2 linked regions of the Lytechinus pictus genome follow. The protein of the gene in region 1 purifies or fractionates together with the protein of each later gene. This does not show direct contact. Links are inferred from orthologs where the notes say so. Each region holds a gene or a part of one and is shown on either strand. Other genes may lie near its edges. The genes, in order: protein-lysine N-methyltransferase EEF2KMT-like and elongation factor 2b-like.

Evidence for each region.
Region 2: the proteins of protein-lysine N-methyltransferase EEF2KMT-like (region 1) and elongation factor 2b-like purify together in Homo sapiens (affinity purification with mass spectrometry; 3 studies listed by BioGRID and IntAct, counting the BioPlex papers as one, with this or other methods). This does not show direct contact. The link is inferred for Lytechinus pictus from reciprocal best matches to the Homo sapiens genes EEF2KMT and EEF2.

Annotation. Positions count from the first base shown.
Region 1 is NC_087254.1:35,546,249-35,562,086, forward strand, and holds the start of protein-lysine N-methyltransferase EEF2KMT-like, read left to right. Parts: upstream 1-8,185; 5' UTR 8,186-8,320; coding exon 8,321-8,383; intron 8,384-13,917; exon of another isoform or gene 13,918-14,088; intron 14,089-14,218; coding exon 14,219-14,278; intron 14,279-15,231; coding exon 15,232-15,312; intron 15,313-15,838. UniProt on the Homo sapiens protein: Catalyzes the trimethylation of eukaryotic elongation factor 2 (EEF2) on 'Lys-525'.
Region 2 is NC_087249.1:23,430,641-23,446,533, forward strand, and holds the start of elongation factor 2b-like, read left to right. Parts: upstream 1-9,885; 5' UTR 9,886-11,642; intron 11,643-11,818; 5' UTR 11,819-13,095; coding exon 13,096-13,337; intron 13,338-14,674; coding exon 14,675-14,862; intron 14,863-15,893. UniProt on the Homo sapiens protein: Catalyzes the GTP-dependent ribosomal translocation step during translation elongation.

The sequences.
Region 1 (15,838 bases):
TCCCCCCCGGGATTTACGCCAGTGCCGAGCAGTTTTTGTAATCATGAAATTTTTATATCTAATTAACGAATTAAGTAGGGCCTATACTAACCATATCTAATTAAAGAATTAAAATTTATAAAGCCGTTTTAATAAAGAACCAAAAACGAGTGCGAAGCGCGAGCTGCTTCAGTTCAGCAATATTAATTCAATTCTTTTCTTTTCTTCAATAATTCTTAATGCCAGGGCCCTGAAAACGATTATTATTTTTTTACTAGGGGTGCTGGTTGGAAGAAAAATTAGTCAGGCAAAAAAAAAAACGAAGGTGATTTTGATTGGATTTTTTTGTTCTTTTTAGCATATCGGATTTCAGGGGTGCTCCCTCTAGGGAATAACACACGAAGCACCTCATCAGGCAAATTCTTGGGATGCCTCAGCACGTACGCACACCCGCTTCTCATGCATATAATGATCGAGGGCCAGGGGCGTCGATCCATTTTTGAGATTGGGGGGGGGGGGCAAAATCATGAATCAACATTCCAAAAAGGCGCTCGATCACACAAAACAAACAAACCCACATGCACACACACATAGGCCTATATATATATATATATAAATATATATATCTATATATAATATATATGACTCATGAGAAAGAGACACATATCTCACCAAAAAATTAATCAACAAATTGATGCGAGAGCGAAGCACGAGCTGAATTTTTTTAGTGTACTGACCTAATAACCGCAAAAAGGTAACTTTGTAGTATAACTCAAAGACATGGGGATACATAATTATCACTACACACATAATGCAAGTGCCGAGAGCGAGCTGAAATTTTTTATATTTTCACCTGAAAGCTTGATATTCTAAGCATTTTTGGTACCAATGATTAAGATGGGTAATAGATGCGAGCGCGAAGCGCGAGCTGAAAATTTTGATATTTCGATCTGAAAAAATTGAGTTTAATGGACGTTTTTAATAAAGAACAAGATATATATCCAACAAAAGATTATTGCAAATCGAAGCGAGAGTTCTTTTGAGGTTTAGAACTGAAAATGCCATTCTATTCACCTATTTAATCATGAAAAGTATGGGTTTTTGCTCCAGAAATATGATGCGAGCGCGAAGCGCGAGCACGATTTTAAATAAAATCGAGTTGTGTATCTCAATATCGCTTGCTGATTTTTGTGTAACATTACAATCTTATTTTATTTTTGCACATGCGGAATTATTGGGGGGGGAACGATGTTTGCCCCTCAATATTTTAATTGGTGAGGCGATCACCCTTCCCCCCTCCCAGCCCCCAAGGATCGACGCGAGTGCGTATATAGTGCGAGCTCAAAAATTTTCGGCAACTTCTCCAGTGAACAATTTAAGTGCATAATTATCTCTCTCTGCATGTAAAAAAAGAAAACTCCAATATCAACTTGAAGGAGAATAATTTTTGCAGACTAATTTCAAACGGGATATTTAACGGTCCATTCTTAACCTCTTAATTGAGCAGATTATTATCTCACTCAACTAGTAGCTGGCGACTTGCCCCCCCCCCCCCCCGCGAAATATTCGGTTTCAGCATTTCTTTAAAGGGGAAGTTCACCCTGACAAAAAGTTTATTGTAAAAATAGCAGAAAAAATAATAAAAAATATTGCCAAAGGTTTGAGAAAAATTCATCAAATAATTAAAAAGTTATTATAATTTCAATTATTTGATTTGTGACGTCATGTGCGAGCAGCATTCCTACATAGCGAATGGTAAAGAATCAATGAAATGTCATTTTCTCAGAAAATTGAAAATGGTTTTCACTGTACCTTTTGTATATCAATAGACAAATCATTTCACACCCGATCATGAATAGAAAAAAAATTAAGTCATCAGGAACCATACAAAATTTGAAATTCATGCATTTTATATTACATAACACATGGGGCAGCTGCTCGTTTATGACGTCACAAATCCAAAACTTTGAACTCTAATAACTTTCTTACTCTTTAACGGATTTTCATCAAACCTTCACCAATATTTTTTACTATATTTTCTGCTATTTTTACAACAAAGTTTTCTTCAGGGTGAACTTCCCCTTTAAAACCTGATCGAATTACTGACATATACGGTTTATCTTCCCTTCCCATATATTTCATTCACTTTTCTTCCTCTCCTTGTTTTTTTCTTCTACCCTCTTTTTCTTTTCCCCTTTTCCATTTTTCGCCGCCAATATAGGGGTGGCCGCTAATTAGAATTTGACAAATTAATAGCTATTGGTTTTTTTTCGACCTAGCTATACTCGTTGGAGGTTTATATGAAGATATAAATGATGTCGATTTTAAATGATATTAAAATAAACCAAAGGGAGTGAGAGGAAGGAAAAATAGAATTGGAAGGAAGAATGAAATAAATGGAGGAGACACATATTTTTTTCCGCCCACCCCCACCCTTTAGAATGCCGGATCGACCCTGCATCCCCCCCCCCACCCCACCCCACACACCCTCACAAATTAAGACCCGCATCTCTGCATTCTCCTACAATTAATTGCGCAATGTCTGCCACGTGAGTCCCGGAGGCGCGTTTCCGTTTTACACCCTGGCGAAGGCATTTTCCGCAAAAATAGCCACAAAGCGACTAGTGAAGAGTCTACACACGTCGCTGGTGGCAGCGTGCGACACAGGCGAGTCCCACACCACCGCATGCAGTCTGCACAGTTACTGATCAGAGCATTTCATGTACAGAGAGCAGTCATATGAGTGAAATCCGAACCGAACATGCTTTTGCAGTTAGGTTTTTTTATATGAAAAGTTAAGAAAAAGTTTTTTTTCTAAATATAAATTATTAACTAAATGAATAGAATGACAGACAAAATAAACAGATACATACAATAGAAAGAAAATTGAAATTTGATGGATTGATACACTTAGATGCCGAAAGATAGATATAGAAGACTGATAAATAGATAGAGACATAGATAAATAGATAGAAGTAGAGAGAGAGAGAGAAAGACAGAGAGACGGATAGATAGATAGATTGATAGATAGATGGGGGGGGAGAGAACTTGATAGATGGAGAGATGTTATAGATAGATGGATAGATAGATAGATGGATTGATTGATAGATAGATAGATAGATATATGGACGGATAAAGAGAAATAGAGAGAGAGAGAAAAAGACAGACAGATGGATAGATAGAGAGAGAGAGGGAGAGAGAGAATCTGAGAGATAGATATTAGATAGATAGATAAAGAATGAGAGAGACAGAGAAGATGGGCAAATTAACAGATAGATAGATACTGTAGTTACATAGATAGATAGATAAATAGATAGAGACATAGATGAATAGATAAAAGTAGAGAGAGAGAGAGAAAGAAGAGAGATGGATAGATAGATAGAGAGAGGGGGAGAGAGAGAGAGAGAGAAAGAGAGAAAACAAGACAGATGGATAGATAGATAGATAAAGAATGAGAGAGACATAAAAGATTAACAGATAGATAGATAGATACTGTACATAGATAGATAGAGAATTTGAGAGATATATTTAAAAATAGATAGATAGAAGATAGATAGATAGAGAGAGAGAAAGACAGAAAGATGGATAGATAGATAGATAGAGAGGGGGAGAGAGAGATAGAGAATTGAGAGATAGATATTAGATAGATAGATAAAGAATGAGAGAGACAGAGAAGATGGGCAAATTAACAGATAGATAGATACTGCAGTTACATATAGTTAGATATAAGATAGATAGATAGATTGATAGAGAGAGAACTAGAGAAAGACAGATGGATAGATAGAGAGAGAGATAGATAGATGTTAGATAGATAAAGATTGAGAGACAGAGAAGATTAACAGATAGATAGATACTGTAGTTACATAGATAGATAGATAGATAGATAGATAGATAGATAGATAGATAGATAGATAGATAGATAGATAGATAGATAGATAGATAGATCTATATAGATATAATTTGAGAGATAGATATATAGACGGATAGAGAGAAAAAGACAGACAGATGGATAGATAGAGAGAATTTGAGATCAAAGACTGAAATAAGTGAATGTTTACATACAAATAGAATCATAACAAAATATAAAGTAAACATTATGAATAAATATCAAATACAATACAAATTCATACAGATGAAAAAGAAATGTATCATAAATAAATACAAAGGGCCAAAAGTAATACAAAGTGTCACCAAAGAAGAAAAAAGCGGAATGAAAGATTAAGAAGAAAGAGATGGGAGAAGGGAAAGAAATTGGGATAAGACAAAGAGAAGGGAAAGCAAGAGGGGGAATTTGAAAGAGAATAGGAGGCAACCTTCAGAAAAAAAAACTCATTATGCAATACAAGACATTTAACAATGGTAACAAGTAAATAAAGTAGTAATTGAATCGAATCGAGCACAAAAAAGGGAAAAGTAGAGCTGAGGAAATAGACTCCCGAAGGAAGTCGAGGCAGTGTTGATATTGCACATGAGTAGATTAATAGATGGATAGAGAGAAATAAAAGAGAGACAGATGGATAGATGGATAGATAGATAGACAGATAGATAGGTAGATAGAGAATGAGAGAGACAGAGTAGATAGACAAATTAACAGATATCATGTAGTTCCATAGATTGATTTATAAGATAGATAGTGGATAGACAGATATGATAGATATAAGGATAGATATAATATGAAAAAAAGGTAATTATGTGTTTTATTTTTCAATATTTTAGCTATTATTCGTTTTCATTCATAAAAACGATCATGTGCGATAAAGTTAAAAAAAATCATGAAGCCAACGTATATAGTTCAGCGGAACAACCAAAATACAGAGACTGAAGCTTTTGGTCTATAAGCTCAGCTGCATTTGCACGTATGTTCTGCGGATATCTTCGGTGCGGACTTTTGGATCGCGCGCCCAGCTGATTATGTAAACAAACGTTGACGTAGACTCTTCACTAGTCGCTTTGTGGCTATTTTTCCGGAAAATGCCTTCGCCAGGGTGTAAAACGGAAACGCGCGTCCCGGAGCTCGGAGCTGAAAGTGCTATCGGCTTGCGGTGCGCTGCCGACGGCAGGCGGTATGACTACTACCCTACTACCCATACCTTCTTCTTCTTCTTCTGTATCCTTCCTCCGCTGTATCGGAGATCCGCAGTTTAATACTGCATTAACATTAGCGTTACATATTTTGACGTGAGAGTAAGGTAGATCGAGAGAGGTGAATCTTATGCAAGAAATTTAAGACAAGTAGGTTGAGGTCGTTTCTGGAGGAATCTGCTAATTCGACGTCAGGAAGAAACAGGACGGAAGCGGTAAATTGTTGAGGTTCTTGATCTTTGAAATGCACAGAAAAATACTGCAGTTCCTCGTCTTCTTTTATTAAGTTTAGAAGGGTTTTCCTGTGTGTGCTAAACGCTGGGCATTCTCCAACAAAATGTACAACACTTTCCAGTTCGGAGTGGCAGAACTTGCAGGACTTTGTGGTACTTTGATTCAGAGAGAATAACCTTCTATTCGTTGGGTATGTACTGCAGGATAATTGAGCTCTGATGGACATAGCTTCCCTCAGGAGAGGGCTGGAGACTTGCTTTGGGTAATAATTCTTTTTATCACGTTGGGTCATGCCCGACCATAGACTTAGAGAAGATTTTGTAGCAATTGCAATTTCAAGGGCAGCATAGTGTTGTTTATAAATTTTTCCCAGTGCTAGCTTCTTCCATACTTTATATGGAATGCGATCTCTAAGGATGTTAGGGAGACTTGGAAGCTCATAACTATTGAGGATTTTTATCCAGCGTCTTACCAAAGGTGTATTGTATGCTATACCATTCAACAGGATTCTTCTCTCAGTGCGTTCGTCTGAAAGGCTTGCATATTGCCCAAGTAAGAGAAGAATTTCATAGTCGATTCGCTTATCCATTGGGAGGATATCGAGCAATAAATAAACAATTTCGTCCGCCGCACTCCTTGGCAAACCAAGCACTCTTTTAAAAAGAAATGTTTGGGCCTTGTTCAAACGGGACAGCATGTAGTTGGTAAGTTGAATAATCTGAATCCCATATAGCATTCTTGGTATGCAGAACATTTTCCAAAGATGAGTACATATTGGTGGCAGCAGGCGTAGAGTTCCTTGCTTAGTTCCAGTGAGAGAGAAGAAGGTGTTATATCCCTTTGAAATGATGTTATTGGTATGGTCAATATTACAATTGCTTTTTACTATGCCAAGGTGTGGGTGCTCTCTGCTTTCCTTGATTGTCATTCCTCCCATTTTCCACTCGACTGAACTTACACTGGTTGATGCTTTTTTGTTTATTACTACTACGGCACTTTTTTGTGGATTAATTTTATATCTCCAATCACAGGAATAAGAGAAGGTGAGATCCAGCATTGATTGGAGTTCTCGGGGGCATGTACTAATTAGAGCAACGTCATCTGCTAGTACTATCACTCCCATGTAGCAACCATTAATAGAGCATCCAAGACAAGCGTTCCTTAGTGATTTGATCAGGCCATCGATGAAGACTGTATATAAGGTGGGAGAGAGCACACTCCCCTGTTTTACACCTTGAAGGATTTGAAAAGGAGAGCTGACTTTTCCTTCCCACATGACTCTACTGGTACTACCGTTGTAGAACTCTTCCAGTGTAGATAACAGGGATTCATGGAGGCCTAGGTTTTGAAGCTTAGAAAATAGGCCTTTATGCCAAACGATGTCAAATGCTTTCTGTGCGTCGAGAAGAGCAAGGTATGTTGTACATTTCTTGGCAGAGTTCAGTTGGATTATTAATTCCAGTGAAGATGCAGTAAGGAGGCAAGATTTGCCTTTCTGGAATCCAAATTGTAACTGGTCTGGGACATCATTTATTGCGAGTGGAATTTCTAGTTGAGATTTGATGAGCATTTCCAAAACTTTACCAATTGTTGAAGAAACTGTTATGCCTCGGTAGTTAGAAGGATCTTTTACATCTTTTCCCTTTCCTTTGTGAACTGGGACTATAAGGCCGGACTTCAAAGGTTCAGGAATATACTTTAGGGATATACATCGATTGATGAGGGCGAGAAGTAATTTCCGAGCTATTGGGCCAAGATATATAAGATGCTCAGGAGATATATTATCAGGTCCTGCAGCTTTTTGTTTCTTGAGAGAATTAATAGCTTCATCTAGATCTTTTGAAGTAGAGGGTTGAAGTGGTTGATTCAAATTTTCCTGGAACGGGCGAGTGGGAATAGCTTCATCCAATTCAGGCGGAGAAGAGGCATTCATGTAATCCGGTTTAGCAAGATCTGAGAAATGTGAGTTGAAGCCATCTAAAACTGCCTCTCCTTCATATGTTGTACCCCTATAAGACAGTGTATCAGTGGACCGAGATCCTTTAGTGCTTTTGACAAGCCTATAGAAGAGTTTATCATTGCTACCTTTAGCATCCTCAATTTCTGAAAGGAGATTATTGTGATACATCCGCCGTGCTTGCCTGATGCTACTTCTAAATAGACGTTTTGTATATACATGCTTGATCCAGAGAGGGTCCTTGCCTTTTGGTTTTCCGCTGGCCCTCCAGAGACGCCAGTAATATTGAGATTGTTTATAACATGCCTCTACCTTTTTGGTCCACTCTCTTTTCCCTTTCCTTTTTCTTTTCTGACGGCCCTTCGAGTGTGGTAGAGTTAGTGATACCTTCAACATTTCTTCGCTAAGTTGATCAAGCAGCAGGTCGATTTGAGTCGGATCCAAGCACATTGCAGGAAGATTATAGAAAAGGTTCTTTGATATTTGTTCCATAGGAAGAGTATAGAGAAGGTGTAGCTGGTCAGCACTGCACTGATGCCAAGATATCTTAGGACGAAGTATAGACTTTCCAGATCCTTTAGCTTTGCGATCAGGTATATCATGATCTACTTGATAATTGGCTAAAAGTGGTAGTGAAAATGTCACTTTAACCGGTGTGTGGTCAGAGGTGTTTAAAGGATCGTCATGCTGAATAAGAAGGTCAGAGAAGCAGTTTTCGAGTTTTGCAGGAATTATGAAGTCATCAATGTATGATTGTCGTAAACCATCATCTGATTGGAAGGTGTATAGCTCCTTTTTATTTTGGAGAGATGATAAGTTAATCATGTTCTCACTAATCAGAAATTCCTTTAGAATACGCTTTGTAGGTTTCTTACACGATGCATTTGTCAGATCAGCATTCAGATCTCCACCAAGTATAATCAGGGCCTCTTTATACCGTACCGCCGGCCGGCACGAGCTAGCTCTGGACGAGTCACGAGTACGGTACGCTATCGAAGACTCGAGGGTGTTCGTTTTAAGTTATTCTTGTTAAGCTGTTGCAGTCTGATGAATAGACCTTGAAGCGATATGGAAATGGACCAACTTGTGAACCAATATTTTGAAATGATCCCACTTCGACACTTGAGTTGGGTGAGTATTTTTTACGAGAATTATCAACCTGTTCACAACCAATGGCAATGGCAATGCAAATAATTCATGGCCTAATATACGGTAAGGGCTCCCGCCCGCGAAGCGGGCGCGCGGGAGGTCCCTTGGTTAGATCATGTCCTACCTCGGGCGAAGTTCGTGCAGACTACAGCCTGTACAGGCGCCATTACCGCTACACTACGCTCCACCTGCCCGAACATCGAGTCCGTAGGTGGAGCGCAGTGCAGCGGTAGTGAAGTGGAGTGAAGTGAGCTTACACGAACATCGCTCGAGGTAGTCCATGTCACACATGACTAAACCAGGGAGCTCATGATGTCCATAAGATGATATTTCGCATGAGGTGAAAGAAAGATGCTCGGCATAATCGTGATATAGTCCCCAAATCCCAAAATGGGGATTATTAGATTCGCACAGCTCGAGAACTTGCGAAATGATAACACACACAAATGAAACACACTTACACTTGGGTTCTCTCCCTATTATATACTCGTGATACAGTCCCCACTCTACGGGAAATCAAGTTTGATTTTCACGGCGGTGGGGACAGTTTCAACAGTATAGTATACTCGTGATGCAGTGCCCGCGCTATGGGATACACAGTTCACTTTGCACGCAGTGGGGACAGTTCAAACAGTATAGCTATACTCGTGATACAATCCCCACACTATGGGATACACATTTCGTTTGGCACGCAGTGGGGATAGCTCCAACAGTACTCGTGATACCGTCCCCTCACAACATAAAATCGTGCTTGTTCGACAAGGGGATGGGGACAGTTTCCCAGTGCAACGTGACAAGGAAGACTCATTCAAAACCTTCGGGAATTAGTATCAGGGTTGGCACGTTTTAAACGGTGTGTTTTAAAACATGTTTTAAAACACGTTTTAAAACACCCGTTTTTTTTACAAAAAAAACGTGATTTAAAACGCCTCATAGACTTGTGTGTTATGAATATGCATGGATGTGATTTTACATGAATATATTTTTTTATACTTTTATTTCTGAAGTGGTATATTATTTTCTTCTAACTAAATCTCTTTCTCAACACCACTCTTTTTCTCCTCTCTCTTTCCCCCCTTCTCCCTTTTTCCATTGCTTTGTCGTGTTCCTTTCCTCCTGTTCAATTATGTACATCAATCTATATATTCTCATTTTAACAAGCATTTGAGTGCTGTGCTCACTTTTAGACAGGGAAAGAAACACTATTAAAAATAAGCTCAAATATGTAATAGTAGTACTTGAATGAAATGGAAGTGTTGCACAAGCACAATAATATTTTGCAAATAGACAGTATAACTGACATTGTAACCTTGAGGTACACACTAAAGTAGGTGAAACTTTGCGCTTCGTAAAGATGAAGAAAAGTAGTTTAATTTATAATAAGATAATCAGCTAGCAAACCTTAAAGGACAAGTCCACCCCAAGAAAAAGGTATTATGCTGAAAATTTCATCAAAGCGGATGTAAAATAATAAAGTGATGACATTTTAAAGTTTCGCTTAATTTCGCAAAACAGTTATATGCGCATCCTGGTTGGTATGCAAATGAGGGGACTGATGACATCACTCACTATTTATTTTGTATGTCGTTTTTTTCTCATTGTCATGTAAAATATAGTTTTTTCCTCCCTGAACATGAGTGGAACTACAATTGTTTTAACATTTTTTGGTTCAGTCAAGTTGGTCATTATTATCAAATCTGTATAAATTGAAATATTGTATTGTTCAAACAATTAAAAAAACAAAAGAAATAGTGAGTGAGGGACATCATCAACTCTCTCATTTGCACATCACTGAGTTGTTATAAATGTTTTGTGAAAAATAAGCGAAACTTTAAAATGTCGTAACTTTCTTATTTCACATCCGATTTCGATGAAATTTTCAGCATTATGCTTGTTTGAATTTTTTCTACTGATTCAAATCAACATTTTTCTGGGGTGGATTTGACCTTTAACCCTAACAATCCCAGGGGACTGTAATGGCCCCCTTAAAAATTTCTATGATAAATCCATAAGCACGGCAGGGCCACGCCATATTGTTCAAGACTATTTTTTGGATACATGCATGGATATGCGGTTATGATATTACCATGGAGCTATCAGCACATTGATAGCTCCATGATATTACACAAGTGCATGTCAGACCAGAATTGCTCAATATCGTGATTTCATGTATAAAGCCAATGCAAATTTTTTGCCAACATTTGATCTGTATCAATATTTGTGCTTTTTGTTAATGATTGGAAAATTATTACCAATAATTTTCATTAAAAAACTTTTAAAAAAAACCAAAAGTAACCACAAAACTGTACATAAGAAATATTAAAAAAACAAGTTAAAAAAAACATTGAAAAAAACAATTTGATCAGAATTCCTCAATTAAAGAAATAAGCAGTTCAAGGGCCTAATATTTATAGATTTAAACCCAAACTTATATTTCATGCACTTGTGGGTACCCGGTAGGATGCGAAAATCATTGTAGCTTGTCCAGTACTGTGTGCGCCTCACTAGCGACTGACTGGAATACTACCCAGGGAGTGGAGGATGTGCATGCATTGTGTGCGGGAATGACTGATTGATCCGATGACTGGCTTAATAATATATCTGTAAAGTGCTTAGACACATCGTTCCAATGTATTAAGCGCTATATAAAAGCGGACTATTATTATCATTATTATTACTTAAAATTGGTATAATTGATTCAAATGAAATAAAGCATATTGAGTAAATGAAATTAAGCTTTGAAAGCCTATATTCTATAGATTATGTTGTTTTCTTACATAGCGCAACTTCTTCTCACCCCCTAGATTGACAAGACTAAAAAACCCTGAGACTACATGTATGAGGAATAAACTTATAAAATGTCAACTTAATTTTTCGGCATTCAATTTCCTTGATTTAGTAATTTTGGGAAAAATATGAATTTTTCTGTTGAAAATTCAGTAACAAAAATTGTAGTCATCTCTTACTTACTCCATAAATGTATTTAAAACATCAAGAGCTTAAATCATACTGTATTAAGTGTATAATTTAATTGATTTACAGGAAAATTACATCGTTCGTTGGAAAAAAAAACGTTTTAAAACGATTTAAAACGTTTTAAAACAATAAAAAACGTTTTATTTGTTTTTTTTAATAAAAAACGTTTTTTATTACAACCCTGATTAGTATTGTCATCATCATATTATATTATCATTTTATCATTATTAATATTTTATTATTATTATTGTTATTTAATCATAATTATCATTATTGTTATTATCATTATTATTGTTATTTAATCATAATTATCATTATTATTGTTATTATTTATTTTATTATTACTATCATCATCATACATCATTATTATTTTTTATCATTGTTATTATCCTTTATTATATTATTATTATTGTTGTTTTTATTGTTAGGCCTATTATTTTTATTATCAATATTTTGTTATCATTATTAATATAATTATTTTTATAAATATCATCATATATCATTATTATTCTTTATTATTGTTGTTGTTATTATGGTTATTATTCTTTATTATATTATTATCATCATCATTATTCTTTATCATTGTTGTTGTTATTAATATTGTTATTATCCCTTATTATATTATCATTGCTGTTGTTATTATTTTTGTTATTTTTATTATATTATTATTACTATCATCATAATAAATATTATTCTTTATTGTTGTTGTTATTATTATCATCATAATAGTGATAATAGTATAATAAATTATTATATTATTATTATCATTATTATTCTTTATCATTGGAAATGTGCCCCTTCCATCCAGTCCGTTCCTTGTATTTCATTTAATTCCTTCAAATGAAATCACTGTAGACTCATTCATAACTTTTGGGTATTATCGTAATTATTATCATCATTATTGTCATTATTTTTTATGGTATTTATTTATTATTTACTTATTATTGTTATCCTTATTTTTTGTTAACATTATTTATCTTTTATTTTTATGATAATAATTATTATTGTTATTATTCTCTATTATTACCATTATATTTACCTTTATCATAATTATTATCAACATCATTATTGTTATTAATCTTTATTATCATCATCCCCATCATTATACTATTGTTGTTATCATTACTTTACTTTTCATTTCTGTCACATATTGGTATTGATTACTTTAATGTTTTGGGGTGACTCTTTCAATAATAACAACAACAATAATGAAAATGATGCCAATGATGATCAGGTATTATGATAATAATTAATACCCAAACATTATTACGAGTCTACAGTGATTTCATTTGAAGGAATTAAATGAAATACAAGGAACAGAATGGATGGAAGGGGCACATTTTCAATGATAACGAATAATAATTATAATGATAATATAATAATTTATAATATCATCATCATTATTATAATAATGATAATAACAACAACAATAATAAAAAATAATAATGATATATGATATGATAGTAATAATAATAATGATATTAATAATATTGACAATATTTAACAATAATTATAATAGCAATAATAATGATAATTATGATTAAATAACAATAATGATAATAATAATAATAATGATAATAATGATTAAATAACAACAATAATATGATAAAATGATAATAATGATAATATATGATAATGACAATAATAATAATAATTCCCGAAGGTTTTGAATGAGTCCTCCTTGTCACGTTGCACTGGGAAACTGTCCCCATCCCCTTGTCGAACGAGCACGATTTTATGTTGTGAGGGGACGGTATCACGAGTATAATATACTGTTGGAGCTATCCCCACTGTGTGCAAAGTGAACTTGATTTCCCGTAGAGTGGGGACTGTATCACGAGTAGATACGGTTCTCGGGAGAGAATCCAAGTGTAAGTGTGTTTCATTTGTGTGTGTTATCATTTCGCAAGTTCTCGTGCTGTGCGAGAGTTGGGGACTGGGGGACTGTGTTCTGGAGAAAGGAAGTGATTTTTCATGCGTTCTGGTAGGTGTGATTCAAATAATCCCCATTTTTGGATTTGGGGACTATATCACGATTATGCCAGATGCTCTTCAGTATTTTGGTCTGTTTGTCATTAAGATTCATAAAAGACTCAAGAAGTACATGATGATGAGGGCTTGATTTGTGAATTGAAGATGTTCTGTGCACCACCAAAGATTTGGGAAGGGAAAGCATTATTGGCACCATGCAAGCCTCTTTATTTAACTATATTGACTCGCCTTGAGGGGAACATTAAATATATCGCCAGTAATCCTATTGGCCCAAGTCTTTAGACTCTTTTGAGTCTTTAGATGTGGGCAATATGGTTCTGTTATTGTTAAGGGCAATATATTTTATGTTTCCTGAAAGAAGAGCCAGTCAAATACTTTTATTATCCAAATCAGACATCTAAAGCAAAATCGAAAAAATACAGATATTTTACTTTTTCAGAATGTGATTCTATTTTTTCATGTTGAGCAGGCTGTGTCTCTGAACTACATGTATACAATTGTGACGTATTTGAAATGTTGCCGTATCCAGCTTTTGTCTCATCTTGTTTGACATTATGACTTACATATATATTGTGCTGTGTGGATCAATATGACGCTTTTTAATGTCTTTCTACATGTATGCGTACTCAGATGCCCGGATGTGAGCCCAGGGAAAATGCAACTATATTTGGGTCGTCTCAGCATACAAAGTCAGTACGGCCATAAAGACCGATGAAAATGTAAATAATGTACCTATCGATCCTTCCCGATCTTTATGAAAGCTAGGGCAATATGGTTTTGTAAATTTTCAGCTCAGACGTCTGATACGGGTATTAATATCTTTTATTTCATTCTATGTTTCCAATTTAGGGGGATGCCTTTAATTCAGCTGCTCCTTCGCTAGAGAAACAACAGAACATTCTCAAAAAGGTATGTCAAGATGTCAAGTCAGTTCACTATGGCTTAGGTATAACTTTAAAAATGCTACTACAACTACATGTAGCTATGTAGTACTACCACGTCTACTACTGCTATGAATAATACTTCTGCTGCTAGCTGCTACTACTACTACTACTACTACTACTACTACTACTACTACTACTACTGCTACTGCTACTGATACTGCTACTGCTACTGCTACTGCTACTGCTACTGCTACTACTGCTACTACTGCTACTACTACTGCTGCTACTGCTACTACAACTACTACTACTACTACCTACTGCTGCTACTACTACTACTTCTTCTACTATTACTACTACTGCTGCTGCTACTATATATACTATTTCTACTACCGGTGCTACTGCTACTATGTATACTATTTCTACTACTTCTATTACTACTACTACTACAACTAGTACTGCTACAGTTATTTACTATTTCTACTACTTCTACTATTTTATCTTCTGTAGTCTATGATGCACAGTATCCTACATTTAGTTGTGAACTGAAGAAGACTTTAGGTTGGATGGAAGCTCTATCACATACATGTAGGCCTATTTTTTTAATCAAATATTTTGTACTTCGCTGTGGCTTTATTGTGTTTGGAAGTGACCCTGCTGCTGCTGCCTCAGCTACCTTACTGCAACTTCTACTTTCATTTCACTGATGCATCGGCAATATCACCTCTCTTTTTTTTGCTATTGCTAATATTGATAAGGAATGATACTGTGGAAAACTTAGATAATTTAAATGTAGAGCTACAAATGTACATATAGCAATTTTGTCTCTCTTTATCTGTCAATTCTGAGAACCTCGTTATAATTTTGTCGCACATGCACAGTATGTGTATTATGCTCTTTTATTGATTGTATCTCGTCATTTAATCATTTTACCAGCCAAACTACGGCTCTATAAATCTATGATTTTGTTTTAATTCACAGACTTTGATGTCATCCGTGTCCAGAGATTTCCCTCCAACACTCAAATACAGAAGACTCTTCGCCAAGCACATTTTGAAACAGGTTAGTTTAAGTAGACATTAGATCACATGTTGATCTATCTTTGTGCCCCTGCATGTTCTTCAGCCACAGGTAATTCTTGATGTCTTGTCCTGTGGGAAATAGTCAATACTTGATTGACTGTAGTGGTTCCTTGGCCCTGTGTTAGGTCATGGGAAGAAAATAGTATTCAGTGTCCCATCTTACAGAAACTTACAATTAATCCGATTAACTTCAACTAAATGGAAATCCATCATTGTTTTGAAAAAGAATGGACCTAAATAGAAAATGTTGAATGAAATTATTTTTTCAAGAAAAATAAAAGCTCTTCCTATTTTTATTTTTTTTTCATTATTATTCGGCAAATAATATTAAAAAATACATTTCAATGTAAACAATACAAAATAAGAAATATCAACCATTGGAACGCCAGGGACAGAAAAAGTTAACTTAATTACAGACCCCTAAGCTTGACCAAAAAATCCAATTCAATTCACAGTGGTTTATTTAAGTAAAAAAAATACAAGGCAAGCATGTACCTAAGTTAAAG
Region 2 (15,893 bases), on another chromosome or scaffold:
ATTATTGAACTTCATTACAAGGAAAATAATGCGCAAAAAGTTGAAACTTCTGTGATTTATTGAAATTATATAAAAAAGGATGATGTATAATCTCTTTGATTTATCCTGAAGCGCTTAATTTTGAATGATAAAGAAACTGAAGTGTCATTCAAAATTTCAAACTGAGGGCGCAAAACCGGACAGGAGATGAATGTGCAGGGAAATTTTAATAGAATTTGATTTAAAAAATATTGTACTTTTTTTATTTAATACGACACGAATTTTATACCTTCCTCTTTTGAAATTAGGAACCTGTTTGCCCCTAAATTATGGTTGTTTAGTAATGAGCTGAAAAGCGGGAGAAGTTGCCTATATGGAGGTGACGGCAGAAATTGATATAAAGATTTTACCCGCCCGGAGTCGACCCGACCAGAAGTTGCGCGATCAATTTGAAAAAAAAAAGATAACTTCATATACTTCGGCCTAACCTTACTCTATATCCCATGCCATAATGTATACATTTAACTTTAACTGGCAAGAAACACGTAGCTGAGGTCGAAAAACAGGGTTAGAGAAACAAAGGAGAACTGCAATATTGTCATTTAACCGCGCTGCGCGCGGAAGCAAAATTCATATATATAAATTTAGAGCAAGAGTGAAGGAGTTTTTCTTTTGAGAAAAAAATAAAGAATAAAAAGAAAACCACACAAAGCTACCTTTCTTCCCTTTCCTCCCTTCGCTTTTCCTTTTCTCCTCTCCTTTTTCTCTTCTTTTTTTTCTTTTTGGGGACGTTTTTTTTTTTTTTTTTTTTTTTTGGGGGGGGGGGGCGACCGCCCCCACCGCCCCCCCCTGGCTACGCGCCTGATTCTCTTATACCTCAATTTTAATTTTCCTTTAAAGCGCGGAAACGTCTATGACTAACAAGTATTTTCGGAGAGCTTCTATATACTAGCGCAGTTCTACACTCTATATATAGAGTGTAGAACTGCGCTAGTATAGAAGCTCTCCGAATACATTATTTTCGCTTCTTCCCCCCCCTTTTTTTTTTGCCAGCCGATAGAGGGGACACAACACTGATGGTAGCAGGTCGCCGAAATTCGTACCCTTTAAAATGGGGCGGGGATACGGTGCGCCTCAGGAACAATAATGGCTTTTTAAAATTAAAGAAAGTCAATAAAGACCAATATTATGATATGTGACAGTTTGGAGCGTACTGAAATCTTCAAACATTTTTTTGATAAAAAAAAAATTAAATAAATAGTGTCAGTCGACCCAGAAGGAAAAACCAGTTCCACTGGACCAGTTAGACCAGTATAATTTTAACTGGTAACTCTGGAAATTGGAACATCGGTTTACTGGTCTAACTGGTCATACTGGTCCAGTTAAAATTTTACTGGTCCAGTTAAAAATTAACTGGTCTTGAACTACTGGAATTTTATACTGGTCTTGTTTCTGGTGGCTGTTACTGGTCTCACTGGTCTTCGTACTGGTTTCCAATTTCAGCTGGTCTTTACTGGTATTTTTTACTGGTCTGACTGGTCCTCGAACTGGTCGAACTGGTCCTCGTACTGGTCTTACTGGATCAATTTATTACATGCATTTGGTTTGTTATATACCATGGTCAGTGAAATGTGATGAAAAAAATGGTTAGTAAATTAATCTTTCTGCTGTTATTTTAAATGTGATGTATGAAATTACACATTTTCATTGTGAATTAGTTCACACACTTATTTAGAAAGTTTTTAAACAACAATGAGTGCCATTGCAAGGATATTCCATTCTAAATCCTGATTTTTCTTTAAAAAACAGGAAATATGCAAATGAGGTAAACCATGTGATCAGCATCATCAGAATTACTGGTATTACTGGTCTTGACCAGTTCAATTTCAAACAATGAATTACTTAAGACCAGTTGACTCTATCAGAGGAATATATCTTGATTTATCTTAATCATTTAAAAAAGGAAATAATTATTTTAATGATAATGTTCATACTTGATAATTATGATAATATTAATAATAATAATTACAAAATCAATAACAATGATAACAGTAATAAGAATGATAACAACAATGATCATAATAATCATAATAATTATATTAATTATAAAAAGAATGATGATAACAATGATAAATGATAACGGTAATAACTTTCTCTGAATTGCAAGATTCATTTTCCATAATTCGTCATATGATCTGACTTGAAATAAAATCATTATTTATTGGACCAGTACAACACCAGTTTGATGAAAAACAATTTAACTGGTATTACTACTTTGTTTGAACTGGTCTCCAGTTGATTTTTACTGGTACAGTTAAAAATCAACTGGTCCAGTACATATACTGGAAACCAGTAAAAATCTACTGGAAACCATTTATTGGACCAGTAGCATCAGTTTGATGAAAAACAATTTAACTGGTATTACTGATTGCTTCAACTGGAATGCAGTTGTTGGAACTGGTCTCTAGTTGATTTTTACTGGTCCAGTTAAAAATCAACTGGCCCAGTAAAAATATACTGGAAACCAGTAAAAATCTACTGGAAACCAGTAAAAAAAAATACTGGTCTTACTGGTTTTTCCTTCTGGGGAACACCTCCATGGGACCCCATCCATGTGACCTATACCATGAACACCTATCGACATCCATGCCTACATTACTGAACAAAATTTGGGTCTGACTCTGAAGCCCCTTCCTCTGGTTCCGCGGCCCCTATTGATAAAATAATATAGGCTCAAAATATAGAAAAACAACATGTGTTTCCCCTGGCTATTGCGACATCACCTGACACGCGTGTGTCACGGATGTTGCGCAATGTCACAATTTGACTGTGTGCACTCATAGAGATGTATTATATATATCTCTATGTGTGCACTACACATTCCACACATCGCTCGCTAGCGAAACACACTTATCAAGCGCGCGACTTCGGCAGACAATTAACGTCGATCGCCCGACGACCAAGATTTAACACACGGACCGTATACGCAAGCTAAATCGCACGCATATATCGCACTGCAGCTGTGCACTAGCGCATAGCTGCTAAGCTGCATACGTTGCATCCTTTTCAGTTACCGGCGTAAACCGAGTAACATTTTATTGACATCTGGTGGGAGAAACAAAGCAAATATCCAAAATGGTAAGTCCCATCATTGAAAAATCATCCGACATCTATTATATTTAACTAATTTACAATGTTTATGTAATGTTGATTTTACGCTTTTGATTGGGGAAATCTGTAAATATTCGTAATTCATTAACTAAATCGACCGGCAAGTGAATGAATGAGTTGCAGAGTTGCTCAATACTTACAGTACAGTCGAGTCGTACACGAAGTAATCGTGCATGAGTATGAGTATGACTGAGCGTGACGCACTGCGCTATTTTAATTTCAATGTTTTTTAGTAAGCAAGGGAGCCCTTGTTATAATCTATAGGCCCGCCAACATTTTAAAGACAAAAGTGTGAATGTGATGTCTTAGTTACCTTGAATTTTGATTCTGACTCCTGTTTCTCATGAGTCACTCATGAGTCATGACTCATGTAGGGACCCCAATGAAGCAAAACAAAAACAAATCTCCTTCGTTTTATAATATTAAAATCACTTAGGCTACTTGTTTAAAGTAAGTGGTACTTATCCATTCAAATAAGTCTTGTTATTCCAACATGTAAATGAAATTAGAAAAAAAGGGTTCAAACTTGGCCCAAAACGTTCAATTTCCCCATTGACTCCGTCCGCGCTGCTTTGTGTCAATAAGGCTTTGCGGCCAGTTTTAGACAGTTTGGGACGGAGACAGCTGCGCGAAAATATCAGGTGATCGTTGGCGCATCGCGTAAGTCCGATGACCCCAAAATATAGTCTTGTAAATGACGTCGCGTCCCGCGCCGTTATTCAATAAATGATCTCGGTCCCGAAATATTTCCACCCAGTTAAAGTCACTTTTAATGTACGTCCATCGAACATTGATAAAACAGAAAGAAAGCGTGAGTGAGTCAAGGAAATGAGAGAAAACAGAGAGGGAAAAGTAGTATTTAAATTGTTTTCAGATATTGCTTGTGTGCCATTAATTTGTGAAGTCATCAAGCTCGAAGAAGAGCAGAATGCAGATATTTTGATCGTTAAATTATTGTTGCATTGTTATGATTTGATTCCTTACTAAGTTACTTTAAATTTGATCTAGAGTATGGTGATATTTGACATCTATTAAATTCATCGAACTGATAATCATGTCATGAGCTCTGTCTCTTAATTTTGGCAGCCTACTACCTCGGAACATTTGCTCATGCAAAGGCCGTCCGACGAGTAAAAAAAACACGCCCGTCTTAACATTTTAAATAGCTCCGTGGTTTGAATAAAAATGAATAAAACGGCCGTCGTATAAACAAATGTGACCGAGGTAGAGGACTGTTGTAGGCTCCAGTGGCTTACGCGGGGGAGGGGTAAAGACCAAGTCAAAATAGTGATCATTATTTATTTTTCATTTTTCGATCTTAATTACCGCCCCCCAGAAAAAAAAAACACCTAGCTGTCCTTACCAGATCATTCTCCCAGGAAAATATGTTCACCTTTATTGTTCCCACTGAATGTCGACCTTACTCGATGTTCTCATATTTCTTTTCTCCCCCCCCCCCCTTTCGTATGGAACAAAGAAATACGCTATAGGAGAATGCTCTGGTAGGGACAGGGAGCTCTGTATTGGGAGTGGGGGCGTTGAGGGACATTATGGTTGGAGGAAAATTTTTATATAGGTTATTTTTGTTCCTCTTCCTTTTCTGTTATTTTCTGTAAATGTTTCCTTTTTATATCAGATACACTACAGTCACATTTGCTCTATGGTGGCAGAACGGTGAATAAAAAAAAACAGCCGTTTTAAAGATTTTAAAAAATAGCTATATCATACTAGGTGGGTTGGTTACTAATAGTTTGAATATAAATGAATAAAACTGCTGTGTTCGACCACCGTACGGCTGCCGTAAATCAGATCAAAATGTGACTGAGGTGTTACACGCTCGTAAAAATAAGGAAAGAGGGAGGGGGGGGTAGAGACAGTTATGATATTTTTATCGATCTGATTAAGTCGCCTTACCTCCCCCCCAAGAAAAAATAAAAAAACTACCTCCCAGTCTCTACCATTAGCATTCTCCCGTGAAATTGTTCCCACTTACGAAAAGGACGGGATGTCGACCTTGCTCATGAATGTTTTTTTCCTCATTAACTGCTATCTTTTTTTTTGGGGGGGGGGGGGTGGGGAGGGGTGTTGAGTGACATCATGCATGGTTGAAGGAAAAGTTTAAGTTAATTGTCGGGATTTTGGGTTCGGCGCCCCCCCTATATATTCTTTGTTATTTTATATACGTACATGATTTAAAAAAAATCTCAGATAACGGTAAAAGCCAGTGATTTTATCTCTGTAGGCCTATAATATATAACGACGTAAACCGGGACGTATCTTCCCTTTTTTTTTATAGAAAGGGTGGGTCAGTGTATGAGAAAAAAATGTTTTCATGGAAAAGAATCAAGTTATTAAGAACATTTAAAATTAATATTTGTATATACTGCAATTTAAAATAATTTAAGTGAGGTTTAGGGATGTTTATTTCAAATTCTCTCTCTATAACATAAAAATACATTAATAAGGTTTGAACATTTCCGCAGTGGAAAATAAAATTTGAATTACATATTAATAATTATGAATTGTAATGGATGATTCTTACCTGATGTGGTAAATGCCCTCGTCCATCTGGAGTATTCCCTGGACCGGAAAGGCAGGGGTACAACCAGCTCAGGGATCCCTGGGGGTATTCTCGTGTTATATAATTCAGGCTAGGACACACTAACCCATCATGGGATCATTCAAAAGATCAATGGAAAGGGGTGCTTTTCACTGGTCAGCACATGAATGCTTTGACCCAATCAGAAGTGAAAACGCAAAAAAAAACATGACTCATTTTATCTCATGAAATGTTCCCACCGAAGACGACGGAATGTCTGGCTTCCAAGACCTTATCGGACAGGCTGTTTCATGTCTGTCAACACTGCGGCAACTTCACAGAAACAAATTCTTTCACACCCTCCTTATTCCGAAAAATCCATGTAAATTACTTTCTTTTTGTTGTCAACACCCTTCTGCATTAATCTTTTGAAGTATACACCGCGGCAACTTCACAGAAACAACTTATTCTTTCACACCCTCCTTATTCCGAAAAAGTCCATGTGAATTACTTTCTTTACAGTTGTAATATTTTTGGCATTTCTTTACGTAATCAAATTATCATTTTTATTGTGCTGTCCTGCATGAAGAGTTCATATTTTTTGGATCCTGCAGACTGAAGAAATAAAACGTTGCCTTTTAATGCAGGTTCCCTCATGTTTCTATTCGCCGTATTATTCAATTTAAATAAATGATGCCATGTCTGATTTGTACGTCATGTTCATTCTTCTGATGTAATATTTGTATTATGTTCATGATTATGACTTGTGAAATAAGTGAAATAATGTCATATCTCAAAATTGACGAAGAGTTCCCCATAGCAACCTTCAGAATATTTTTCTTTTGGAAAACTCACCGGCACCGACCAGGGACACCGAAGGAGGGGGCAACTCTTTTCACTTAACAAAAAAAAAAGAATAATAATTAAAAAGTGAGTATTCTCGTCTGATCGTTGTTACATGATGATACCCTTACCCCCACCCTAATTCAGAATCCAACCCCTGACCCCTACTGGGATAGCTATATAGAAGGGGTAATTAAGGGCCACCCCATCGATCCTCCATAATATCCCATGTAGGAAGTTGAGACTCATGGCGGAAAAAGGAGTAAAATCGAGAAATGTAAACGAGCTATGTAGGCCCCCTCCCCGTGTAAAAAAAAAATCAATATAGGCCTATTGCACATCCCTTGAAATCAGATGTAAATTCAATTTGACAGTCGCATTGGATACCTAATTTATTCATATCGGGTTACATTGGTATAAAAGCCCCATAATAGCGTGACTTTTTTGCCACTTTTTGTCAACGCTTTAAAAGGTCCATGTTTGAACCAGGGATATTGCATATCCCTGTTTGAACTATATTTTCACTCATGACAGGGCAAGATAGACGAAGTGTTAGAAGAATGTTCCCATAAAAAAGCAGATTACGGATGTAAAAGTCAGCGGGGGGGGGGGGGGGTGGGGGGGGGGGGAGTCTCTCACCGAAAACGTTTTTTTCCAACTCTCCGCTCAATCATATAAATGGCCTCCAATTTTCAGGGGGTTTTTTTGGGGGGGGGTGGTGTAAACGGGTTCTTTGCAGGTATTTTTTTTTTGATATCCATTTATTTATTTTTGCTAAGAGCAAGGGCGCAGGACCGAGGAAACCCATCCCCCACCCCCTCCGCCTATACATTAGAAAATAAAAAAATAACTGACATCTCGTCGAGTAATTTTTGTATCCTAATTTTACAACAATCAGTATGTTACTGTTAGAAATAAAATCTTAAATGTGTGTGATTGTGAGAGGGCATATATACATATATTGTGCGTAAACATTGCAACTTAAAACATTGATTTCTTAGATTTCTTAATAAACAAAATATACTTTAGTAGGCCTTAACAATTGATTACTAATCAAACTATACACACCGGGGGATTCCCCTATTTTAATTTAGCCCTGGGATTTAGCCCCCAGAGCGAATGTACAGTTGCAACGTACAGGTCCATGCTTTACACACGCAGTTTTTAAATCCACTCTAACTCCATTATTCCCATGCCACCATCTCGGTCACAGACCTTCTCACACACAAGTGTAAACATCCTTGTACAGAATTCCCTGTATCACACGTATATGCCGCCATTATGCCATGTGCAATATCTCACACACACATGACCTTCCAAAACATCTCTCCTTGTATCACGGCGATTACACGTGATTAACATTTGTAACTGAGGAGGGGGGGGGGCTGAATGTTCCTAAGAGAAAGATTGTGCTAGCCTTCATCCTTTCACATTTTAAAATTATTTTCATTTATTTTATTTGGATGATATCCGTTCACAACGTTACAGAGTTTAAACGAACTTTACAAATCATAAAAATTGCCTGAATCAAGACTAATACATGGTCTACGTTCGCGATAGGCCCCTCCCACCACTTCGCGCGATCTTCAACTTCATGACGATAATTACGTCACGTACACGTCATATGGAGGTTTTTGCTTTGCATTTTAAAATTTGAAAATAAATTCACTAATTTTTTTTTCTTAAATTAATCTAGATATAAGACTTCGTCTAAAAACCATCTTTTTTAAGAATGAAAAGTCCCAAAACGGGCCCCAAGATGTTTTAATTGAATATCTTTAAGTAGAATAGGGTGGGTCCTTCAAAAAGATTATACAGCTCAGCATGCACTTCCAAGACGGTCCCTGAGACATGAATTTAGGGAAAATCCCAAAAGATGCAGCAAATGCAGAATTTTTATTGGTCAAATTTTGGAGGGTGCCGCCCCCAAATCAAACTTAGCTCGCTCACACGCAATCCTGGTGACGTCATGGTGACGGGTCGCGTGTGCAAAACTTTGAATTTCCCCATTGACTTTATACACATACAAACTCTGCAGTTCATGTGGAATACAAGGACAAAGTACGATATTTTCCCATTCAAAGAACAAGTAGAGGTAAGCCATTCGAAAATATAGAATACTAAATAATTACTGACAAATAATTACCGATCCTTTTAATGCCAAATATATCATAGCTACCTGAAATAACTGAATTTAGGGTGAAATTATCAGTCAAGAGGGATGCATTATTGGGGCTTCGTAGGATCAACGGACGCGCTCGACGCACTCGCAATGGTATGTAGGGACTTTGATAGAGCAAGTACCGAATATACCGTTGTCCCTAACTCATGTTTGTTGACTGTTGATGTTGTGTGAATTATTTGAAAAAAGGGATGGTCCGGGCTGAAAGTATTGGTATAGCTTGATAAATAGAGTAGAATTCACTGAGCAAAATGCCGAAAATTTCATCAAAATCGGATAACAAATAGGCCTAACACTTAACAGTTATTGAATTTTAAAGTTTAGCAATATTTTGTGAAAATAGTAGGCCTAGTCATGAATTATTGAATATTCATTAGCCTAGGTCGAGTAGGTGGGCTGATGATGTCACATCCCCACTTGTTCTTTTGTATTTTAGGGCCTAGGCCTACCGGCATGACCGGTATATGAAATTATGTTTATTCAAATTTGTTTTCCTCCAAGAACTACTCAACTAGAGTAGAATTTAGAAATATTACTCAGTAATGATAATTGATATACCTATTTATTTAGGTGGGCTGATGTCACATCCCCACATAACCCAGGAAGCTTACCGTGTATTTGACCATAGTCACCGGACTAGGGTGATTTATGGTCTAAATATTTCTCCAAATGAATTGTGAAAACAGAAACTTACAATTACCACGATTATATGGATGAAGGTCTAACGAGTGGCAGTTTCCTGACATCTGGGCACAGACTGGAACCTCAAAAAAACGAAACGTTCTCTCCTCTACCCCAGTCTCGATCAGCCATTTTGTTACGATTTTTAACAAAAATGGCCGATCGAGACGGGGGTAGAAGGAGAGAACTTTTCGGTTTTTTGAGGTTCCAGTTTGTGCCCAGATGTCAGGAAACTGCCACTCGTTAGACCTTCATCCATATAATTGTGGTAATTGTATACTTTCTGTTTTCACAATTCATTTGGAGAAATATTCAGACCATAAATCACCCTAGTCCGGTGACTATGGTCAAATACACGGTAAGCTCCTGGGCTCCCGCGCAGCGGGCGGGAGCTCCCTGGGTTAATCCCCACATTGTTTTCTTATGTTATTGCATAAAATAATATTTTTTTTATTATTTCATAGTACTTGTGTGAATGATGACAATGTTTCCCTTAGCTTATAAGTATAATGAAATAAGTTGCAGCAATAAATATCTAGCTAGGGCCTAAAGCACTAAGCCAGTTGCCAATCATGTAGCGCAAAATCGCTCTCGCGCGCCTTAAAATCGAGTCCCTGAGTAGAGGTGCACGGCCAATATAGGAGACTCTTTCCAAAGGGAGACACTTTCCAAAGGGAGACAATCTCCCATATTGGACACTTGCTTTGCAAAAGAACAAAGAAACACCAACAAAAGCATGATTTTTTTTCCACCCAAAATTTTGTCCCACTGAGGTCAGAGCCCATTTGTTTCATGTGTGGATGACAACAAAAAACCTTATAAAAACAAAAGTAGACGGTGAAAAGGGGTAATTTTTCATGAGTTGAGGAATCTGCTTATCAGTATCACATTTTTATTTGCCGCCAAGTTAATTCTTTTGCAGCAAATGTAAACAAAGAAAATTGGTCTCCCAAACTGGAGACTGTCTCTGAAATTGGATACCCAAATTCTTGATAAAAGTATCTTGATATGGGAGATAATCTCATGGGAGACAGTCTCCCATATTGGACGTGGGCCGCTACTGATCACGGAGCCTTGAAATGCTTGCCATATAGACTTTATGCATAAGCGAGATGACTTGTCAACAAGGATGGATTTCCCTAAGAAATACATAATTAGACAGTGAGATCGGTTTGTTTCTCTTGATTTTATTTATCTATGAACCTTTACCGTATATGCAATAGGCGTATGAAGGTTCATAGATTAAAATTATTTTAGTATAAATATGAAAAATGAGAGGTTTCTTACCAGACCGATCTTTTGTAGATCCCTCGATCCATTCGTAAACACCGCAAATACAATAGGTTTGACCCTGCTTCGATAAGTGATGTTACAAAATGCGTGTCAATCGGTTTTTGTCTCACCTGCATAGCAGAGTGAGACTATAGGCGCCGCTTTTCCGACGGCGGCGGCGGCGACAACAACAAATCTTAACCGAAGGTTAAGTTTTTGAAATGACAGCGTAACTTAAAAAGTATATGGACCTAGTTCATGAAACTTGGCCATAAGGTTAATCAAGTATTACTGAACATCCTGCCTGAGTTTCATGTCACATGACCAAGGTCAAAGGTCATTTAGGGTCAATTAACTTAGACCATGTTGGGGGAATCAACATCAAAATTTTAACCTAAGGTTAAGTTTTTGAAATGTCATAACTTAAAAAATATATGGACCTAGTTCATGAAACTTGGACATAAGGTTAATGGTTAATCAAGTATCACTGAATGTCCTGCATGAGTTTCACGTCACATGACCAAGGTCAGAGGTCATTTAGGGTCAATGAACTTTTTCCAAATTGGGGGTATTTGTTGAATTACCATCATAACTTTGAAAGTATATTGGTCTAGTTCATAAAACTTGGACATAAGTAATCAAGTATCACTGAACATCCTGTGTACATTTCAGGTCACATGACCAAGGTCAAAGGTCAATGAACTTTGGCCATAATGGGGGTATCTGTTGAATTACAATCATAACTTTGAAAGTTTATGGATCTGATTCATGAAACTTGGACATAATAGTAATCAAGTATCACTGATCATCCTATGCAAGTTTCAGGTCACATGAATTAGGTCAAAGGTCATTTAGGGTCAATGAACTTTGGCCAAATTGGGGGTATTTGTTGAATTACCATCATAACTTTGAAAGTATATTGGTCTAGTTCATAAAATTTGGACATAAGAGTAATCAAGTATCACTGATCATCCTGTGAAAGTTTCAGGTCACATGATTTAGGTCAAAGGTCATTTAGGGTCAATGAACTTTGGCCAAATTGGGGGTATTTGTTGAAATACCATCATAACTTTGAAAGTATATTGGTGTAGTTCATAAAACTTGGACATAAGAGTTATCAAGTATCACTGAACATCCTGTGCACATTTCAGGTCACATGACCAAGGTCAAAGGTCAATGAACTTTGGCCATAATGGGGGTATCTGTTGAATTACCATCATAACTTTGAAAGTTTATGGATCTGATTCATGAAACTTGGACATAATAGTAATCAAGTATCACTGATCATCCTGTGCAAGTTTCAGGTCACATGATTTAGGTCAAAGGTCATTTAGGGTCAATGAACTTTGGCCATGTTGGGGGTATTTGTTGAAATACCATCATATCTCTATAGTGTATTGGTCTAGTTCATAAAACGTGGACATAAGAGTAACCAAGTATCACTGAGTATCTTGTGCGAGTTATAGTAGTTTTCAAAGTCAGCACTGCTGCTATATTGAATCGTGTGATGCAGGTGAGACCGCCAGAGGCATTCCACTTGTTCTCTATTATACTCAATAGGAGCATACACTTTTCTATGCAGATCGATATAGCAGCCAACCTATACAGTATGCACACGCAATATTACCACGGTAAATCATATACAAGAGATACTATAGCGCAAATAAAACGTACGGGCGGTTAAGGGCGGTTCAGTGTGTAACAGGAAGGGCAGTCTCGGGCGTTTCAGGGGCTATTTGGTTAAAGAGATATTTGGTTAAAGAGATATGATTGGAATTATAAAAAAATGTTGCCTTTATTTACCCCTCTCCCCTATTTAAAAAAAAACCAGAAAAATAACATGAGAATAATATTGGTTTAAGTGGCCATCTTGTTCTCTTTGTTAGTAGCTTAGTTTGGATACGCATATATCGCAAAAAGTCCCCAGATGATCAATAAAATCTCATTCAACCCTAAATTAATGCTAATTATGTGAAAGGTGAATAGGTGTATTCATGTTAAATGTGTTTATTGAAATACCAGTGAAGTTTGCCCAGCGCGAGTATTGTGACATCGCTACTCAGTGCATAATATTTGTATTGATTTCTACATGGTATGTAAGCAGAATTATCACTATTTCATTTTACAGAGTCTATGGGGAAATGGAAATTCTGTTTTCAGACATGCTGAAACAGACTTAGATTTTCTGAAATGGAAAATCACTGTCCCTGTAAATCTTAATGGTAAATACATGCACATACATGTAAACACGTAATATATTTGTAGAGGTAGTAGTATTGATATTGAAAGGTGAAAATACTCCTTTTTTTTCTCCACATGTAGGGATTACTAACTGAAGATAAGGTTAACATTATTTTCTTGCCTAATGGATATAAGTGTATTCTTCTGTACTTTCCTTTTGGTGTTTAGTTTATTTGGCTACTTTTAAATGTTATGTCATTTTTTTTTTTTTAAGGTGAACTTCACAATAGATCAGATCCGTACCATCATGGACAAAAAACAGAACATTAGGAACATGTCTGTTATTGCTCATGTCGATCATGGCAAGTCTACTCTGACTGACTCTTTGGTGAGCAAGGCCGGAATCATTGCCACTGCAAAGGCTGGTGAGATGCGATTCACCGACACCAGGAAGGATGAACAGGAGCGTTGTATTACCATCAAGTCTACGTTAGTATTGATTTGTAGTTTAATTTGAGTAATGTTTGCTTTTTTATCTACATGCAACATGTATCTCCAAACCTTTCTGATTTCCCTATGGAGGTACTCACACAACCCTAGATTTCTTACCATCCTTGCCCTCTTGAAACATGAATGTCTTGGCACTGATCAATATGATGAACAAGGTGTTTTCATGGAAGCACATACATCTGTATTACAGTTGAACTTGGTTATCATCTTATATAAGCCTGGTATTTTACTTCAAATTTTTTTTCCATCAGGCCACATGTGCTGGATATACAAATAGCAAATAGGCATGAGTGCAAGGTTTCGCCTATTCACCGAATGTGAAGTGTTGCACGATTGTATGAATAAGGATATTCGCTATTTGTGTTGTACGCCTCGAAAGTTAGTGAAAATACGAAGAATAATCATTTTCTCCTACGTAAATCTATGAAAATAAGAATTATTTGTAGAATAAAGAAAAAAAGACCATGAAATGGCAGTAATGGAAATCAAAATTTTAGTATAGAAGGAAAAAAGTATTTAAAAAAAAAAATTTTAGGAAAAAGAGGAAAATGAAGAATAAAGGACATTATTGCCTTTTTTATAACCGATTACGCTAGATCATGATAGATTTACAATTACATGCATATTGTAGAGCATTTGCCCTGCATTTTTTGCTGTAAAAAAGTTTTCATCACAAAACAACCATTAAAAAAAAAAAAAAACAATATTTAGAAATAATAGTAATTAAATAATGTAAAACAACCTTTATAATAGGAGTGGGCTATACGTGGGTGAAAAAATACTTTTTTGGTCATTTTAATATGGCAACAGTTTTTATTTTTTACGTGCAAGACTCTTATGACAAGTGTTATTACATCCCAGTTATTCACAATGAAATTTTGATACAATTCTGTTGCGTGCCCTCGCAAATAACGATATTTCTGGTTATTTTTTCATAAGTGGGCGAGACACTAAATCGGTTATGCCTTGTTGTTTCTCTGGATTAGCTGCACTTGACTTTTCGAGATTATAAAGCAGGGAAAAAGATGCTTTTTTTTTTAACAGGAAAATACATTAGGCAATGCTACATTGCAGCCACTGAGCATAGTCTTCCACATCATACCCGTAAAGGCAAAGACAAAAGCTCCGGCCTCCTTGATAATGATTATAGGCTTAGTCTAGTTGACATCGTCGACCCATATCGAGTAATTAAAGGTATTTTTTATTATGAATAATTCTTATTGGGCCAGAAAAATTTATCCATACCTTTCAAGAGAACTCAAGTCTACTTATACCAGGCCGACTACATGTTTGTTTGCTGTATTTTTGTTTCATAGAGCCATCTCCATGTACTATGAGCTGTCAGAAAAAGACATGTCATTCATCACGCAAGAGAAGGACGTAAATGACCGTGGTTTCTTGATCAATCTCATCGATTCCCCAGGCCACGTTGACTTTTCTTCTGAGGTGACGGCTGCTCTGCGTGTTACAGATGGAGCTTTGGTTGTTGTGGACTGTGTCAGTGGTAAGGAGGTTTTAACTGTCATAAGACTCAAAGTTTAGTGGATGACAAAATGCCCCCCCCCCCAGATCTCGCTAGTTGATTGAAAGATCACAACAAAAATTGACACACACTTCACCATGACTGTATTTGTGCAAACGTTGCATCTTGAATTGTTCTTAAGTCTTAAAAATTTATTTTTATTGAATTATGCTAATTTATGCATGAAAGAAGAATATAATTGTAAATTACGAATATTATCCCTGAATTTTCTTACCGATAACGATCAAATGCACATAAAAAAGGTCAAAATATTTTCATATATATTTTACTGTCACTGAAATTCCCTATGTATCTTTTATTTGTGGAAATGGTTAACGGTACACCATTTTTAAAGTCCTGGAGTAACTGAGATAAGAAAAGTGGATAGAAATGGAGGTGAAATGGAGAGGTGAAAAAGTGGAGGTTTGAAAGCCAGCCTTCTCCCACCTACTCAAGCCTGCCTACTAATCAGCTTTCCTCTCCTTTTTGTTTAGTCCTTTAAAGGACTACACTGTTTTCGAAGAGAATAATCTACTCTCAAACCTCCACTTTCTCTTCTTTTCCATTTCACCTCCATTTCTATTTTCTTCTTATCTCTGTCCCTCCAGGACTTAACACACGGTGTACCATAAACTATTTCCGCAATTTTTTAATACCACCTTGCAAACCTTCAAACATCCGTATCTTTTATTGATTTTTCAATTGGAATTGCTGGGAACACTTCAGATCATAAACACTAATTACCAGGGTGTAATTAATTGATTGATTATGAAGTGATGAAATTAATTCATTATAATTAGTACAAGTAAAAGTAATGATATTTACATGTATCAATTCTGGCTAGAAACAGACATTGCTTTGATTTTTACAGGAAATCACATTTTTTAGTAATTTTGGTATGACATGCATTTTTACAGTGAACATGTAATTTCAAAACCACATCGCCTGGTGTGCAAATGTGTCAAAAAGTTGGCAGGACTTTGAGAGAAAAGGTTGTGAAATGACATTGCGCT